Struthio camelus: one gene and its partner. The protein of the gene in region 1 interacts with the protein of each later gene in a pairwise test. Links are inferred from orthologs where the notes say so. Each region holds a gene or a part of one and is shown on either strand. Other genes may lie near its edges.

Region 1 (7,498 bases):
GGCACAGACCCTGCAGGATGCACACAGGGGTACGGCCTTTCCCCAGCACACACCCAGCAGCCACCCCACTGCTGCAGACATGCGAGACGCGATGCTGGCAAGGAGGGAGCCCCAGGAAGCGAGATGCAAGAAAGCCTCTTTGCTGAGCAGAACGCCACCCCACTCCCAGGCTTTATTCATCATTACACACTAAGCTACAGAAATTTCACTGAATAAGGAACATCAGCAGAATAGAAGCTAAAGCACTTTTTTTTTTTTTTAAAAAAAAAAAAACATATTTAAAGACACGGAGAGATTTTAAAATACCCTAGCAGTATCACTTCTCAGCCAGCACTGGCTGCCAACAGGACATTCATGGGACTGCTTTTTACTATTATTATTAAAAAAGCCTATTTTCTGATTTTATTTCAGTCTGCACTGTACAGGAGAAGACTTGCTTGTCTTGGGTGCTTTCCAATTACTTTGGCTGAACAGAACGGGTGCATTTTTTTCTTTATATAGTCCCTTCCTCCTCAAGCATATATACCCACGCCCTGCTTCCCCATGCTGACGTCACAGAAATACGAAAGAGCTCCACATTTCTGACTTCTTCCAGACTAAGACATCCAAGTGGAGTCTCTAGAGACTTGCCTGGCCTCAACACCAGAAGTTCTCCCAACTATTCAGCTTACCTTTTCCTTTATTTTTCAACCACTCCCCTCCCTTCTTGCAAGTTATATCCTCCCTTCAGATGGTAGAGCAGCAGAGATTGCACAACAGATCCTCTCCCCACTTGAAACCCACCTCCTCTCCCCAACATGCTCTCTCCTTCCCTTCACTCTGGTCCCTGTGTGCCAGAGACAGCTAATCAGACCCAGTGATGAAGTAACAAAAAATAAAACAAACAAACAAAATAAAGAGTTATAATCTAATTCATTCCTTCTTAAAGCAGGATTTGAATTTAAGACACTGCGCACAGCCTGGATCTTCCAGACTTCACCATGATCTCTGGGAGACATAAAGCTACCCTTCTCTTGGGACACTAATACTGGCTGGAGTTTTATCCAGCGTGCAAGGTGCAGCTCCTCTAAAGATGCTAAATACCTATTGGCCTTAACAAAAAAAGGTGTTGCATAGTATACAACCCAAAGTAGAAAAGCTGAGAACAGTTATTTTTAGGAGTACCATGAAGTGCCAGGTTAACACTCAGTTGACCTCAATGTAGCTGTTTACATCACTTTGTTATTGTTTGAAACCACCTTCAAACACAGGCATATCTGGCATCATTCATTCACTTAGCTCTTCTTTCAAAGGTTACTCCAGGAGCAAGGAAAGTTGGAGAACATCTTTTCTACAGGAACTGCTGAGATTCTGCAGCGTTCGGCTGCAGCCTCACAGAACGCACAAGGCTCACATACCAGAAGACAGAAGAGAAAGAGCATAACACAGGAGCAGCAGCACCAGTGAGGCTTTGGCTGCAGGTGTGCAATGGCTGGGCAAAAAACAAGAGTGCAACAGCGTCTGTGTTACACACCAGTGAGACTGCACCTAAAACGCTATGCAGTTCTGGGCTCTTCCTTAGCCAGATGACATCAGCAGATTGAAAAGAATGAAAAAGCAAAATGGGCGAGCACCAGAGAAACCAACCTGGGAAGAAAACTACAGGCTGAAATCAGGCAGCCAGGGCTAGCCCTGCTGTCTAACGAAGCCACAGGAAAAGACCCTTTCCCTGCTCTGCTAGCACACTCTTGCCCTCATGACATCCCCATATATAAAGGCTCTTCCATACAAACTAGCCTAGATGAAAAATATATATAATATATATATATATATATTATAAAATTTTATATATATATATATATATATATATATATATATATATATATATATATGGGGTTTTTTTTAAGGCTGGGTTAGTTTTCAGCTAGATCAGTCCCTGAAGCAGTTCATCACGTGGCTGCACAAGCAGGGGCTGGACCAGAGGAAGAGAGATGATGTCCTTCAGTGGCAGCACCAGCTGAAAGCATTCAGCACCCTGCTGCCTTACACAGCTATGCGTACAGCAACTCTAACTAAAAAAAAGAAAAGAAAACAAAAGCATCAAGAGACAGATGCCCAAAAAGAAAAAAAAACCCACAAACACACAAACAGCAATCAAGGGGAGAAAGGAGAAGAGGTACAAGGTGTTTACATTGGAAAAAGCCTTGCTGTCTAGACCACTCGTGACTGCATCAGTATACAATGACCTAACGAATCAGCTTATGCTCCTTTTCCCATTTCTGTGCTCAGGGTACCTCGTCCTGCTTGGGGGAAACACCTCTCCCCGAGATCGACTGTTCCTCATCCCCTCTCCCGGCAGGGGGTTTCCAAGCGCGAATGCTCCCCACGCAGCAGATGCACGCACGTCCGTGCAAAGCCCGTGGGCAGCGCCGACGCCAGGCGGCACCGGGCGCGCTAGCGAGGCGCAGGGCCGCGTTCGCGCGAGCTCCCGCGTCCACGGGCCTCGCGCGGCAGGCGAGCGCCTCGCACCCGGCTGGGCCCGAGTCCTGCGCGGGGGTGGGCACGGCAGGGGCCCCGCGGGCACCGAGGAGGCCCCGGTCGCGCTCCGCGGGGTCCCAGGGCCCCCGGACGGATTCCCCGATACCGCTGCGGGGGGAAGCTGGTCGCCGGGCCGGGGGCGATGCAAGAGCGGGTCGCCCCCGCCGAGCCGGGCGATCCCGCGGCAGGTGCCGCGGCGCCCTACGGGCAGGGCCGCGGGCCGGGACCGGCTGGGCGCGCCGGCACCGCCCCCGCCGGGGCTGCCCAGCCCCTGGGCCGCCACCACCCGGGACCCCCACGGAGCCCCCAGGGCAGCGGGACGACCTGGGGGGCGGCGGCCGCCGCCGCCCGCCCTACCGGGGCCGCAGCCCCGCGCCGCCGCGGTACTCACAGCGCGCAACTCCCCGGTCCGGTCCTTCATGCTGCCTGCCCGCTCGGCGCCGCCGCTCTCCGGCCGCCGCGCTGGGAGGGGCGGGACGGCACATGCGCCGCAGCCGGGCGGGGGGGGCGCGGCCCCGCGGGCCGCTGGGAACGGCCGCGCCGGGGGGCGCGTGGGGCGCGTGGGGCGCGTGGTCGGGGCTGGGGGGGGGGGTCGCACCTGGGGGGGGTATTAAGGAGGGAGGTCACATCTAGGAGGTTTACGCCTGGGGGGGGGGGGTCGCACCTGGGGATCACCCCTGAGAATAACATCTGGGGAATCGCCTCTGGGGGAAATAAGCCGGGGATCACACTCAGGGCTCAGCTGGGCTCACGCCTGGGGCTCACATCTGGGGGCTCGCCTCGGGCCACACGGCAGGGCAGCCCCGACGAGGGTGCTCACACGGGGGGGCCCAGCACAGAGGCAGCACCCAGTCCTGGGGCTCCAGCAGACAGCATGGTTTGGGGGCTCCCCTGCGGGGCTTCGCCAAACCCCCCACCCAGAGATGGGGCAGGAGGGGCAGTGGCATGGTCTGCTCTGGGGGACCCCAGGCTCCTCACCAGCCTGTGGGGCTCAAGCAGGTAGTGCAGCATGGCGAGCTGGACACACCCGCAGCCCCCGACCAGCAGCTGCAGCTTTCCCCCATGCTGGAGGTGACAGGGCAGAGAGGGCTCACCAGCCCCCACTAACTCCTCAGCTCCAAGTACCCAGGGCTGCCACGCTGGCATGGCACTGCCTTCGCCCCCAGGTGCCTTTTGGCCCGTGCTGGGCCACCGGCAGCCATAGCCCAGTGCATTCATACAGCTCATGGTTTGCTGTGTAAATAGGTGCTTTCTGGGGGAACTGGCAGTGTCTGGGAGGTGCTTCCCACAGCCCTTTTTTTCCACCTGCCTGCTTAACAGCAGAGGATGGGATCAAAACAAAATGGCTTCTCCCGAACCCCATGCTCCTGGCAGGCCTATCTGCAGGGAGTTCTGCATGCACAACTTGGGAGCTGCCAGAGCCGGAGGGCCCTGGTCCAGTTGCCCAGGAAACACAGGGATTCCCATGGGACCAGAGTGGCACAGGGCCAGCTGGTTCCATCTTCATGCCTCAGGGCCACTGGCCTGAGCTCCAGCTGCCCTTGGATGAGATTGGGATCCTTGGGTTAACCCAGAGGCCCTCCTGCTGGGGTGCACCTCGGTTTCCTCCTTCCAGCAGCCCTTTGCCATGGAGAAACTCAAGAAAAACCAGTGCCAGGCATGACTCTGCACAGGATCAGCCTTTTCATGTCCTGAAACAGCCTGATTTGAGTCAAGCAGAAATTTCCCAGCAGAACTCTGCTTCCTTTTCCCTTGGAAAATGCCTAGTCATCAAACCTCCAACTGTCATGAGAAAAATCTGTTCTCTGTGATCCTTCAGGTTCACACATTTAAAATTCCTGGAACTGTACATATACATTGATGAGACAACCTGAACAAACCCTGCTTTTCTCTTTAAATGATTCTACCAAGAAATCAAAAAGCCTAAATTAAATATTCATAGGACCCGGATTGATTTTAGAGGCTGAAAAAGGCAAGATGCCTTTGGCCTATTGTAGAAAATTGATGTACGAGTATGAAATGAATGTGCACTGGCTGGTTGGTAAATCACAACATATCAGTGTTAATGGAGAGACTGAAATTCAGAGGAAAATCCTGGGAGCCCTTTAGGTACTTTCTTGGCTGGTTGCTACCCAATGCACCCAGCAGGAACATGGCAGCAGAATAGGGTCAGCAGGAGGATGGTGGTAAGCTGGGCTCCACCAGCTACACTCACGTGCCCCCCTCCATCTCAGGACAAAGCCCGAAGCGAGGTGGCCAGGAGATGGCTACTGTGGCTAGAACTCAAGGGGGTAGTGCATGGCCTGGGCTCCTCCTGTGCTGCAGTGCTAGGTCAGCCCCCCGACATGGGGAACTTTGAAGGCAAATCACCACCATTTCCTGATGAGAACAACATTGGATGCTTCATGCAGCAGGTCCTAAACACAGAACCATTTCATGGGTGCTGCTGTAGTGCATCATTACCACCAGGTTTACCCTCTCCACCACACCATCTCCAAACACATCTTTTTCACTAGATAAACTTGGTCCTGAAGAATTTTGACAGTTCCTCCCTGCTGCCCTCTTTCTGGGCTTTCATGCATTGCTCTCCTAAATTTTCCTCCAGTGGCTCAGAGAACCTCAGATCTACCACGTACATCTGCACTTGCCCTGTCCCCAGCACAGCTGCCCTGAGGGTTGATGCTGTGGGTGTCAAGATCTCCTGCTTCAAGGGGCAGCATACAAGGGAATGAGAGGCAGGAACAGCACAGAGCTATGGCAAGGAGAAGTGGCCAGGATGGGAGAAACAGTTCTTAGGACTGCATCTTCACTTACTAGGCAAACTGTTTTCTTGAACTCCTGCTGGCGCAGATCAGGTCACACTTCTGCCTCTAGATCCATTCATACTACTGTGGCCAACAGGCATGAGGTGGCTGCAAGTAAAGAAATGCCTTTTGTTCCTTGTGCTGGCTGCCAGTTCTCTGTTGACAAAGTGTTCATTTAACCTTGATTCTGCTAATAAAATTATCCATATGATGCTTTGCTCAACTTTCAAAGAAGAACAGATTAGGTTTTATTTCTTCAGCTATTTCATTAAACTGTGACTTATCAAAGCTAATGGACAAGATTTGAAAACAGTTGCATATAGTTTCCCCTTTAGCACAGCTTTGTACAAAGCCTTGACTCATCACTCACTAGTAACGCCATGATCCCCTGGGGCAGCCCCCTCGCCCTCTTCCTGGCTGCAGCACTGGTGAAGCCATGGTGGCCAGGCCACAGTGGTGGCCAGGACTGCTGAGGTGGCCAGGCTCTGGCGATGGCCAGGCCACAGTAGTGGGTGGGCAACTGTACTGGCCAGGCTACAGTAGTGGCCAGGCCATGGTGAAGGCCAGGCCATAGCGGTGGCCAGACTGTCATGCTGGCCAGGCCGCAGCAGTGGCCAAACCGTAGTGGTGGCCAAGATATGGCAGTGGCCAGGCCACGGCGGTGGGCAGTGATGCTGTGACGGCTGCGATGGCTGGGTCATCGTGCTGGGCAGGCCATAGCAGTGGCCCCAGGCTGGACTGGTGGCCAAGTAGTCATGACGGCCAGGCCGTGGCAGCGGGCAGGCCGTGGCGGTGGCCTGGCAGCGATAGCCCCCAGCCCAAGCCCTGTGCGGGACAGGCCTCTTCCGCGATTTCTTTGCAGCTGCAGGCGAGCAGGGCATCGCCCGGGCCCGGGGCAGGTCAGCGGCAGCCCCGGGAGGCGGAGAGCTGGCCCGGCGCGGCCCGGCCTGGCAGCCTCGGACGCGCCCTGGCTTCCCCCGCAGCCGAGCGGCAGCGCTGGGGGCGCAGCGCTGCCTGGCGGCGGCGGCGGGGCCGAACCCCAGGGCCGCGGCGGGGCTTCCCGCGGAGCTGCGCGGGCCCGAGCCGGGCGGGAGCCCCCGCAGCCCCTCGCCCGGCCGCGGCTCTGCCTCCCGCCCCCCGCGGCGCCGGGCCCGCTGTAACGCCACTAATACCCACAGCCCTCTCGTGTGCCGGGTCGCGAAAGGCCGTGGAAGAAAACAATTTTCGTCCTCGATGCTGCAAATGCTCCTTCTGTCAGGGCGTGGCTCCCCCGCCAGGAAGGGCCCTGTCCTCCGGGGTGAGCGCCCCGCTCCGCGCTGGCAGCCCTCCCGGAAAGCCAGGCCTGCACGGGAGGAAACGGGGTTAGGATCCCCCCAGCATTTCCCAGTGCACTCAGTACAAACACCCTTTTTGACCCCTTTGGGAACGCCACCATTGCTTAAATAAAATCAACTCAAATCCTCCAGCTCAGTTCCCCACGCTGCAGGGAGCAGAGAACTGCTCTGTCTCCCAGGCAGAACACTGGGGACACTCACCTTGTCACCCCTCCAGCTCTCAAACAAAGCAGAACAAGCGGCTCCTTTGCAACAGCTCCCCACGCCAAGCAGCGTGCAGTCCGGCTGCGGCTGCCAGGGTAAGGTGAGTCAGCCAGGACGCTCCAGACACCCAGTGCAGACAGACACCGAGCGCAAGGGGCAGAGACCCTTCGGCAGAGGGAGAGACTGGCTGCCCTCCGCAGCAGCAAGGGCTAAGACAAATTTTGCATGGTACACAGTATTGTGTTTGTCTTCAAAGGCCATTCTGGGCCTTAGTGAGCAACAGGCAGGACCTACACAGCGCTATGTTAGGAGCAAAGGCTGCACGTGCATGCCAGGGCAGCTGAAACAAGGTGTTCCACCCACTGCGCTGGCTTTTCTCAAAATTAGCTCAACAAAGAGGCTTTTCTTTCAGGTTTTGTCCCTGGCTCTGGCAAGGACACAGGGAAAGCACTCCAGCCCAGCTTCCAGAGCCAGTTGCTGGGTGAGCTCAGAGTGGCAGTCAGGAGGTGCTTTGTTTCTGGCCACCTCCCTTCTGCTGCTACTCTGGGCTGCAAGTAAGCCAGGAGGGTTTTGCCCAGCCTTTGGAGCTGAGGAGTCAAGTTCATTCCTCACCTGTTTGACAGTTCAACAGGTGCATGA
Region 2 (7,465 bases), on another chromosome or scaffold:
ACATTGCAGTTTGCCACTTACAACTTCTATACTACAGATTTCCACACGCTAATTTTAGCTGCTAGATTTATTTTATTTTAGACCTTTTTGAAACAGAAAAGCTTAATCCTTATAACTGGTATCAGAGTCAAAGGCCAAGAGTTGTTTTCAACATGACAGGTTAGTAGCGCTTACACCACTAACCAGCCAAAGGTCAACTAATGACTGACAGCACAGCAGTCTACTACACAGGTGCTTCTGCACCTGCATGGCCCTGTGTGCTAAGTACTGTAGCTCAAAGGACAGCACAGCTTTCAGATCTGAAAATCTAAACATTACATTTGAGAGAACTTGCTTCAGCAGTCTTAGTGTGAGCTTCACATTTTGTCAAAAAATGAGACTTTTCTCTGAATTGATCAAGCTAGAAGTGCTCAACATCACTTCAGCAAGTTCAGCAATAGCCTTAGCCGTACTTTTATGTTTTACATCACAAAATGTTTTGTCCTGGGTTATGCTGTCCTCAGCAGCCACAGCTCTAATTTAAAAGTCAGCATTATTTTAGACTAGGTCTCAAACTCCTCCCTCTCTTCTCCTTCATGTAGCGTTATCACAGGAGACATCTTTTTCTGACCTGAAAGTCGTCGTCTTTTCACATAGGTCCTGCCTGAATGTTCTCTCTTAAAAGAGCCATCGCTTGACTGCTTTGCAGCTCTCAGTTGCCTGTGGATTGACTCAATGCAGTAGGGAGACGCTCCTTTCCCCCCTTCCCAGCCAGCTATACAACCTTGTTGTTTCTTGGAGCCTGCTGTCCAAACATGAACCTGCCCAAATTACCCTGGCTCTTCAGACCCGGTGAGGTTAAAGCCACCGGAAGGAGGTTCTGGTTTTCTGGGCAGCACAACCAGAACAGCCTTCCTGGACGTTGTTCTAGTAGCACGGGAAGCAACACAGCAAGGGATTTACTACGAACTACAAAGGCTCTTTCCCCAAAGCCCCCCCAGTCAGAGTGACACCCAGGGACACCAGACACGGTGCAGTGCCAGAGAAACACTTACAAACTGACAGATTTCTAGAAGATGCTGAGCAGCATTTTGCAGTTAACTCTGGGAACAACGTCCAAGCTGCACAAGCAGATAGGAACGGCCAGACTATTTGAATCAGTGCCCCACCTGACCCATTATAGCCCCTATTATCAAGGGCAACCAGAAGCCAGGGGAGGAGGAAAAAAAACCATAATAGTTGAACATATGTAAGTCAACCATAAGAAACATTGGCCCCAAAACCTCATGGTTTTTGCCCAAGAGCTGGCCTATAGCCCTTCCAAAAGCTTCTGTTCTTGTCTTTCCATGTCAATGCATCTCTGAACATTTAAGGGGCAGGGCAGGAGAGCTGTTAAAGGGCCCCCGTGAGAGAATCAGAGCCCTAAAGTCATGCCTTGCCCAGGATTCAAAGGGTGTCTCCCACTCACCCGACCACAAACGTGCCCCTGCTCACCGGGGATGGGGAACTGGGGGAGGCTGGGGAGGCAGCAGAAGTGGTGCTAAGTGTTATGAAGCTTTGCATATCACTGGCAAAAGAAATTTGCACAACTCTGCCTTGCTGATCCCACACGGGCTTGTTTTTATAGCATAATTATTTCTGCTAAGAGCATAATTCTGATTCTTGACAAGATCTTGGCCTTGATTAAATCCTCCAGCAATTTATCTGTTCAGTAATTACATGCCATTGTAAAGAAGCTTTTCATTTTCTCAAATAGGAGCTTGCCTGCTCTTCTTCCTTTCATTGGCTGCAAATTCTTCCTCTTTTACCTTTCATTCACAGTCCCCTTGCTATTCATTAGCAGTTAAGGATGTCTGACCCACCTTTGCTATAAGTTTTCATTATTTTATATTCAAATTCCCTTATTAATGTGTTACTGGGAAAAGCCAAAGATGTTTTTAAGCTACAAGCTTTCAGGTAATTTAGGAGATTAAACATAACCAACACATTTGGCAACAATGTAATCAAATCCATTATTTTTGTGGGGGAGAAAGCTTGTCAGATGTTAAGGAAATTAACAAAATAAAAAAGCCAGAGAAGCTGTATGCGTTTCTACATGTAAAACTAAGGCATGAAAAGGTATACCCTTGTGGGATATGCATAGAGGAGAGTCTTGTGCAGGAAGAGCTCACAGTGGTGGTGCTAGCCTGCTTTCAGCAAGGACTTCTCTTTTTAAGAGGAGAAAGACACTGAAGCCACAGGAAATCCACGAAGGGTAAAAAGCAATATGGGAGGGTGCAAACCCACAGAGAAGGCTTAAGGGAAACACAACCTACATAGTCTACAGCCAAGGCCACAGAATAATAAGAAAGGGGATGAAAAGCGAGTGCCAGGAAACACTGCCAGCGAGGAACAACTTAGACGCTCCCTTCTTAAAGCACCCACACAACGTTGCAGCTGGCAGAGACCCAGCAGCACCTTGGGGCACCTCCCGGCTGGCGCCTCGGGATACTCACTGGAAGGCCATGGCTCCGGCCTCGAGAGTGCACCTCGTGGGGGACTGCTCGTTCAGCTTGCGGAACAGCTGCTTCGCCTGGCTCTGGTACTGCTGCAGGTCGCGGCCTGACTGAGAGGGGAGGGCAGGCGGTTGGCGGCGGCCGCCCGCGGCCCGAGCCGCCCCGCCAGGCCGAGCAGCGGCAGCAGGGCACCGCCGGCGGCACCGCGGCCGCCCCCCACCCCCCAATCCTGCCCCGCCGGGGCCCCAGGCCCAGCCCCCGGCCCGCGCCCCACCGACACACCGCGCCGGGCCCGCCCCCGCCCAGCCGCGGCGCAGCACGCCCGCACCTGCTCGTCCTCCTGCATGGAGGCGGCCAGCGGGAGCCCGTCCGCCACGCGGGCGATCATCGTGAGCAGCACCATCTCCGCGCCCCGCTGCGCGCCGCCGCCGCCGCCGCCGCCCGCCCCTGCCACGGAGATGGACGGAAACCGCCAGCGCAACATCCGGCCCCTCCGCGAGAAGCCGCCCGGGCACTTCCGGCCCCGCGCCAGCACCGCGTCCGGCCGGAAACACGGCCCCGAAGCTGAAGGGCCGCCGCCGCCGGGGGCGGGGCGGGGCGGGGCGGGGCGGGGCCCGCGCTCGGCGCAGCCGGCACCGCCGCACCGGGCGGCTCCTGCGGCGCGGGGCCCCGCCCCTCCAAGCCCCGCCCCTCCGACGAAACCCCGCCTATCACGACCCCGCCCCGCCCAATCCCTGCATTTTAACCACGCCTCCCACAACCCCCCCTCCCCGCTTTAGCCTCGCTTTCCCCAAGATAAGCCCCGCCCCCTGCCGCCCCCTCCCCAAGCCCCGCCCCCTCCCCAAGCCCCGCCCCTTCACGTGACCTCCCCGCCGCGAGGCGGGGCGGGGCGGCGGCGCAGGCGAGCGGCGGCCCGGTGGGCGCGCGCCAGGCCGGCAGCCATGGCGGCGGCGGCGGAGCGGGGCCGCCTCAGCTTCCCAGGCGGCGCCGGGGCCCTGGGGCGGCCCGTGCCTATGAACCTCTTCGCCACCTGGGAGATCGACGGCTCCAGCCCCAGCTGCGTCCCCAGGTACCGGCGGCGGCCGCCCCCCCCCGCCCCTCCCCACGGCGGCGGGCAGAGGAGCCCGTGCCCCGCCGCGAGGCCCGGCGCCTGCCCGCGCCCCCCCCCCCCTCCCTTCAGGCGCGGGGCCGCCCGGCTCCCGTGCTGCCGGTTGCTGCCGGGGTGGGGGGCAGGTCCCCCCCCCCACCCGGGGTTCGGGGCGGGGTGGGGGCGCAGGGCCTGGGTGACCTCCCCCCGCCGTTGCCCCCAGGCAGCCCCGGCGCCTGCCCGGGCGCCGCCGCCCGCGGCCGGTCCCGTTAGAGGCGGCCGTGCCCTGCGGCAGCTGCCCGGCTGCGCATCGGTCCGCTGCGGCCGCTCTGCCGCGTCTCTGGTCAGCGCGGATGCAATTCCTGCTGGGCTTTTCCTTTTTCCTTTTATTTTTATTTTTATTTTTAAAGCCTGTGCGGGAGGGAAAATCCCTGCTAGGTTCTGTAAAATTTGCCCTTATTGTGTCTGGCCGGAACAACCGCGGCTGAGGATTGCAGCGTGCCATGCAGCGCGCCTCTTGTCTCGTGGGGACGCACCAAGCGAACAATAAGGGAACCGAGTCTCCCGGCCGACCTGGCAGTAACGTAAAGCTTATAAAGCCTCTCAAGCCCCCCCTTACCTTTTGTGCCATCTAGGCAGTGGGTTAGACTCGGTGGCCGTGTCCCCTGTCTCGCAGGGCTAACGTTTCGCTCATGGTAACTATCTTGGTTATACATTCCCCAGGGTAACAGTGCTTTGACAACATGGGCAGGAAGATAGCGCGAGGTAGGAGAAAACCCGAGTCCTGCAATTTTGGAGGGTCTTGGTTTATGACAGCTTATCTCTCCTGGCAGCGCCTTGGAGTATCTGTTGTGCAGCAACTTTCTCTGCTTGTCTCTTGTTTAGCCCTTTTTTCTGCTGAGAAACGTGGCCTTGGAAGGGGACTAGCACCAAGCGGCATGGGTCCCTTTTCAAGGAGTCCCTTTGCTGCGGAAGGAGTGCCTTATGGAAGGAGATGGTGGAATAGTTGGCACGCTTTTCATTTTCGCGCTAGCTTTTGGTTCCTGTGAAGTATTCACAGCCTTTCAGGGAAAGCGCATCCACCCATCGGTCCTTGTGGTGTGTAGAGGACATTATAGGCGCTCTGATAACACTACTTTGAAAACTGCTGTCTCCATTGCACCCTGACTTTAGGAACATCGTTGGGTTTCCATCACATCTGACCTTGCAACAGTGCTTATTAAAAGAAAAAACAAATGTCCGTAGCTGTCAAGGACTTTCAGTTCTGCATTATCATTTATGCTGATACTTGCAGATATGAGAACTAGCTCACAACATAGCTTGCTTGTTTGTGAATCTGTATGTGACTGGGACAATGCAGCATAAGGACACTGGCCCTGCCTTGGTGTGTGGTGGGGCGTGGAGGTGGTGGCATCTTGCTTGTTGAAATGTCTTTGGGTCAGGCAGGCAGCAGGTGGCTGGCAGCTGGTTGAGGTGCCTGTAGGAATCTGGGTGATGTGAAGGAAATGTGGATATCTGTGCAGGTGGGGCAGAACTGGAGTTCAAGGAGCAAAGCTTGGAGTCACTGAGGCAAGCTGTGAAGCAGGGGCTGGTGGAAATGGTTGGATTGCAACCCTGTGGCCTGAGGCAGTGGTGGGAGGAGTGGGGCAATTGGGACCTGCTGGGAATGTAGCTCTTAACTAAGAGAGAGTTCAGGCGTGGTGGTGGTGGGTCCCTCTGGTGTCATCCCTCTTACTGCTATCACCTTTGCTTGCTGCTCCTGGATGACCTATTCTCCTGGAGCCCAGGAGGGTAGGCAGACATACAGCTGTCCTGTCCACCACTAGTGATAGGATGACCAGGCCTTACCTCAGGCCAGCTGGATGTGAACTGCTCCACATGGGCTGTGTGGATGCTTTCCCCGTGCATGAGAGTCCTGTGTAAGGTCTGCAATTGTAGCTGTGCATGACAAGCGTTTTGTTAATCTAAAATTAAGTCAGAAGCAGATGAGATGGCCGCTTTCACAGAGATGTTAGTCTGATTGTACGGTAATGTGTGTGCTGTGCTGCACAGGCTGGGCAATCAGTGAATTCTGTAGTAGCAGGGGGCGTGCAAAGTCTGGATGCTAAATTCTGCTGTTTCTAACTATTTAGCACTGTGTCTTGTGATGCTACATAAGGTTGACGCTTTGCATTTTATTAAAGGCTTTGCACAAAAATATGTTGGAGAAGGAAGGAGTTTGAAAACCTCTAGGTTATACTACTGCCGCTGTATTTTAAGTTCATATTGTAATAATTTTTCCTGTGAGACGAGGGTGTTTAAGACGTTAAAGTGAGAGAGATTGGGAAGAAAACTGTTCTCCGGGGGAAACAGTATTCAAAATGAGCATATTGTTCAGGCAGACAGCTACTGGGATGTGAAAGGAGAGCGCAGAGGAGAGCGGGCTTTGCTGTGTGGTCAGGTGGTGTGGAACTGCCTTGGTATCTTCTGAAATTTCCACCAGTTACGAGTTCCCCTCTGAGTCTCTGTTGACAGGACAGGCTCTGTGGTTGATGAGAAGTTTGAACTTGGTGGAAAGTCAGAGGATATGCGGAACAAGGATGCGTGTTTGGGGAGGGAGCGTTGCTTCCTTCCTTTTTTTGTTATGATAAATCTTACTCCATTTCTTATATGGTGAGTTGGAGCAGAAGGACCTGGGTAGAAGCAGTGCCTGGAGCAGGCTGTGGCTGTACTGATACAGTACAGTCCTGGATCTGAGTTACTGTTGTTATTTCTCTTTACCACATGTGTATCTTGGGGAATGTGATGTGTTGTGGGATGTTCGCCTGGACAGAGCTTGCCGGTAAAGAGAGTTAAGGGTAAAGGACTTTTGGTGGGTTGTACTGTGTGGCTGGTAGGAAGCCTTGAATTGTGTGGGTGGGTATATAGATGGAGGTCCTCGTGCAGATGTGGTGTGTGCCGTCCAAATGACGGCTGAGAACTGGACTGTGGGAGGCAGTTCTCTAAAGGGCTGCTTTTCAACAAGGGTCTCCCTGGGGGTTTGATTTATTGAAAGTTCATTCCGCTTGGAGGTCTTCAGTAAAATCTGGAAAGCTCTTTTGGTGCCTCTGCAGAGCTTTCTTGTGTGAAAAGGCTGTGTGTAACCTGTGGAAGAATAATAGTAAAGAGCTATAGCATTATTCTGCAGCAGTGTGCTTTGTATGAACTACAAGCTTAGATGGTGTTTTGCACTGGTGCTCGTCTCCCGTTCTCTTCTGCCCGTTGCAGAAAACATCTAATGCGTCTTTGACATGTTTATTCTTCTGGTGATGGCAACCATGAAAAAAATATCTGGTAGGCAGCTGTTGTATGCAGGTTTTCCAGGGGTGTTAGTGACCGTAACGCCCCAGCCAGGCAGGATGCTCTGTCCAACCATGTGCTGGGCCAGGCGATGTTGCCTTTCTGGGTGGTAACCCCCAGCTAGCTCTGTGCCTTTCCAGATGCCCGAGAGTCATGGGCACAGCTCTTCTTTTGGTGTACAGAAGACTTTCTGACTTCCTTCTTGCGTGTGCGTAGCTCCCAGAGCTTTTTGATAGGAACGTTTCTGAAATGCAAGTCCTTTCTTTTAGTCATCCCAGAAACATGACTCAAACTCTTACTATCTGGGTGTAACTGTTACATACCAGAAGGGAGAGATGCCTACCTTCTTCTCCCCTTTTTCTTGCTTTTGTGCATTGAAATGCTTTCCTTTGTGGAAGGACACATACCTGTGAAAACCAAGAACGATGTCCTCACAGCCTGATTGTAAGAGGATCAAAACTTTTTCCTCAGTTTCTCCACATTGAAAAATAGGATTTATTCCATGTTCGGATTTTTGTTTTGTTTTTCTATATTATTTTTTTTTTCTCTCCAAGCTCTCTCGAAGAAGCTGTGGCAGAACACAGTA

What was found. The genes of interacting proteins can lie anywhere in the genome.
Region 2: the proteins of STX1A (region 1) and SEC22B interact in binary tests that used the Homo sapiens proteins (3 or more experiments, as listed by UniProt). The link is inferred for Struthio camelus from reciprocal best matches to the Homo sapiens genes STX1A and SEC22B.

Annotation. Positions count from the first base shown.
Region 1 is NC_090957.1:9,028,270-9,035,767, forward strand, and holds the start of STX1A (syntaxin-1A), read right to left. Parts: upstream 3,004-7,498; 5' UTR 2,939-3,003; coding exon 2,909-2,938; intron 1-2,908. UniProt on the Homo sapiens protein: Plays an essential role in hormone and neurotransmitter calcium-dependent exocytosis and endocytosis.
Region 2 is NC_090949.1:9,408,258-9,415,722, forward strand, and holds the start of SEC22B (vesicle-trafficking protein SEC22b), read right to left. Parts: upstream 3,049-7,465; 5' UTR 2,959-3,048; coding exon 2,803-2,958; intron 2,585-2,802; coding exon 2,475-2,584; intron 1-2,474. Other genes in the region: PACS2 (phosphofurin acidic cluster sorting protein 2), read left to right, coding at 3,416-3,543. UniProt on the Homo sapiens protein: SNARE involved in targeting and fusion of ER-derived transport vesicles with the Golgi complex as well as Golgi-derived retrograde transport vesicles with the ER.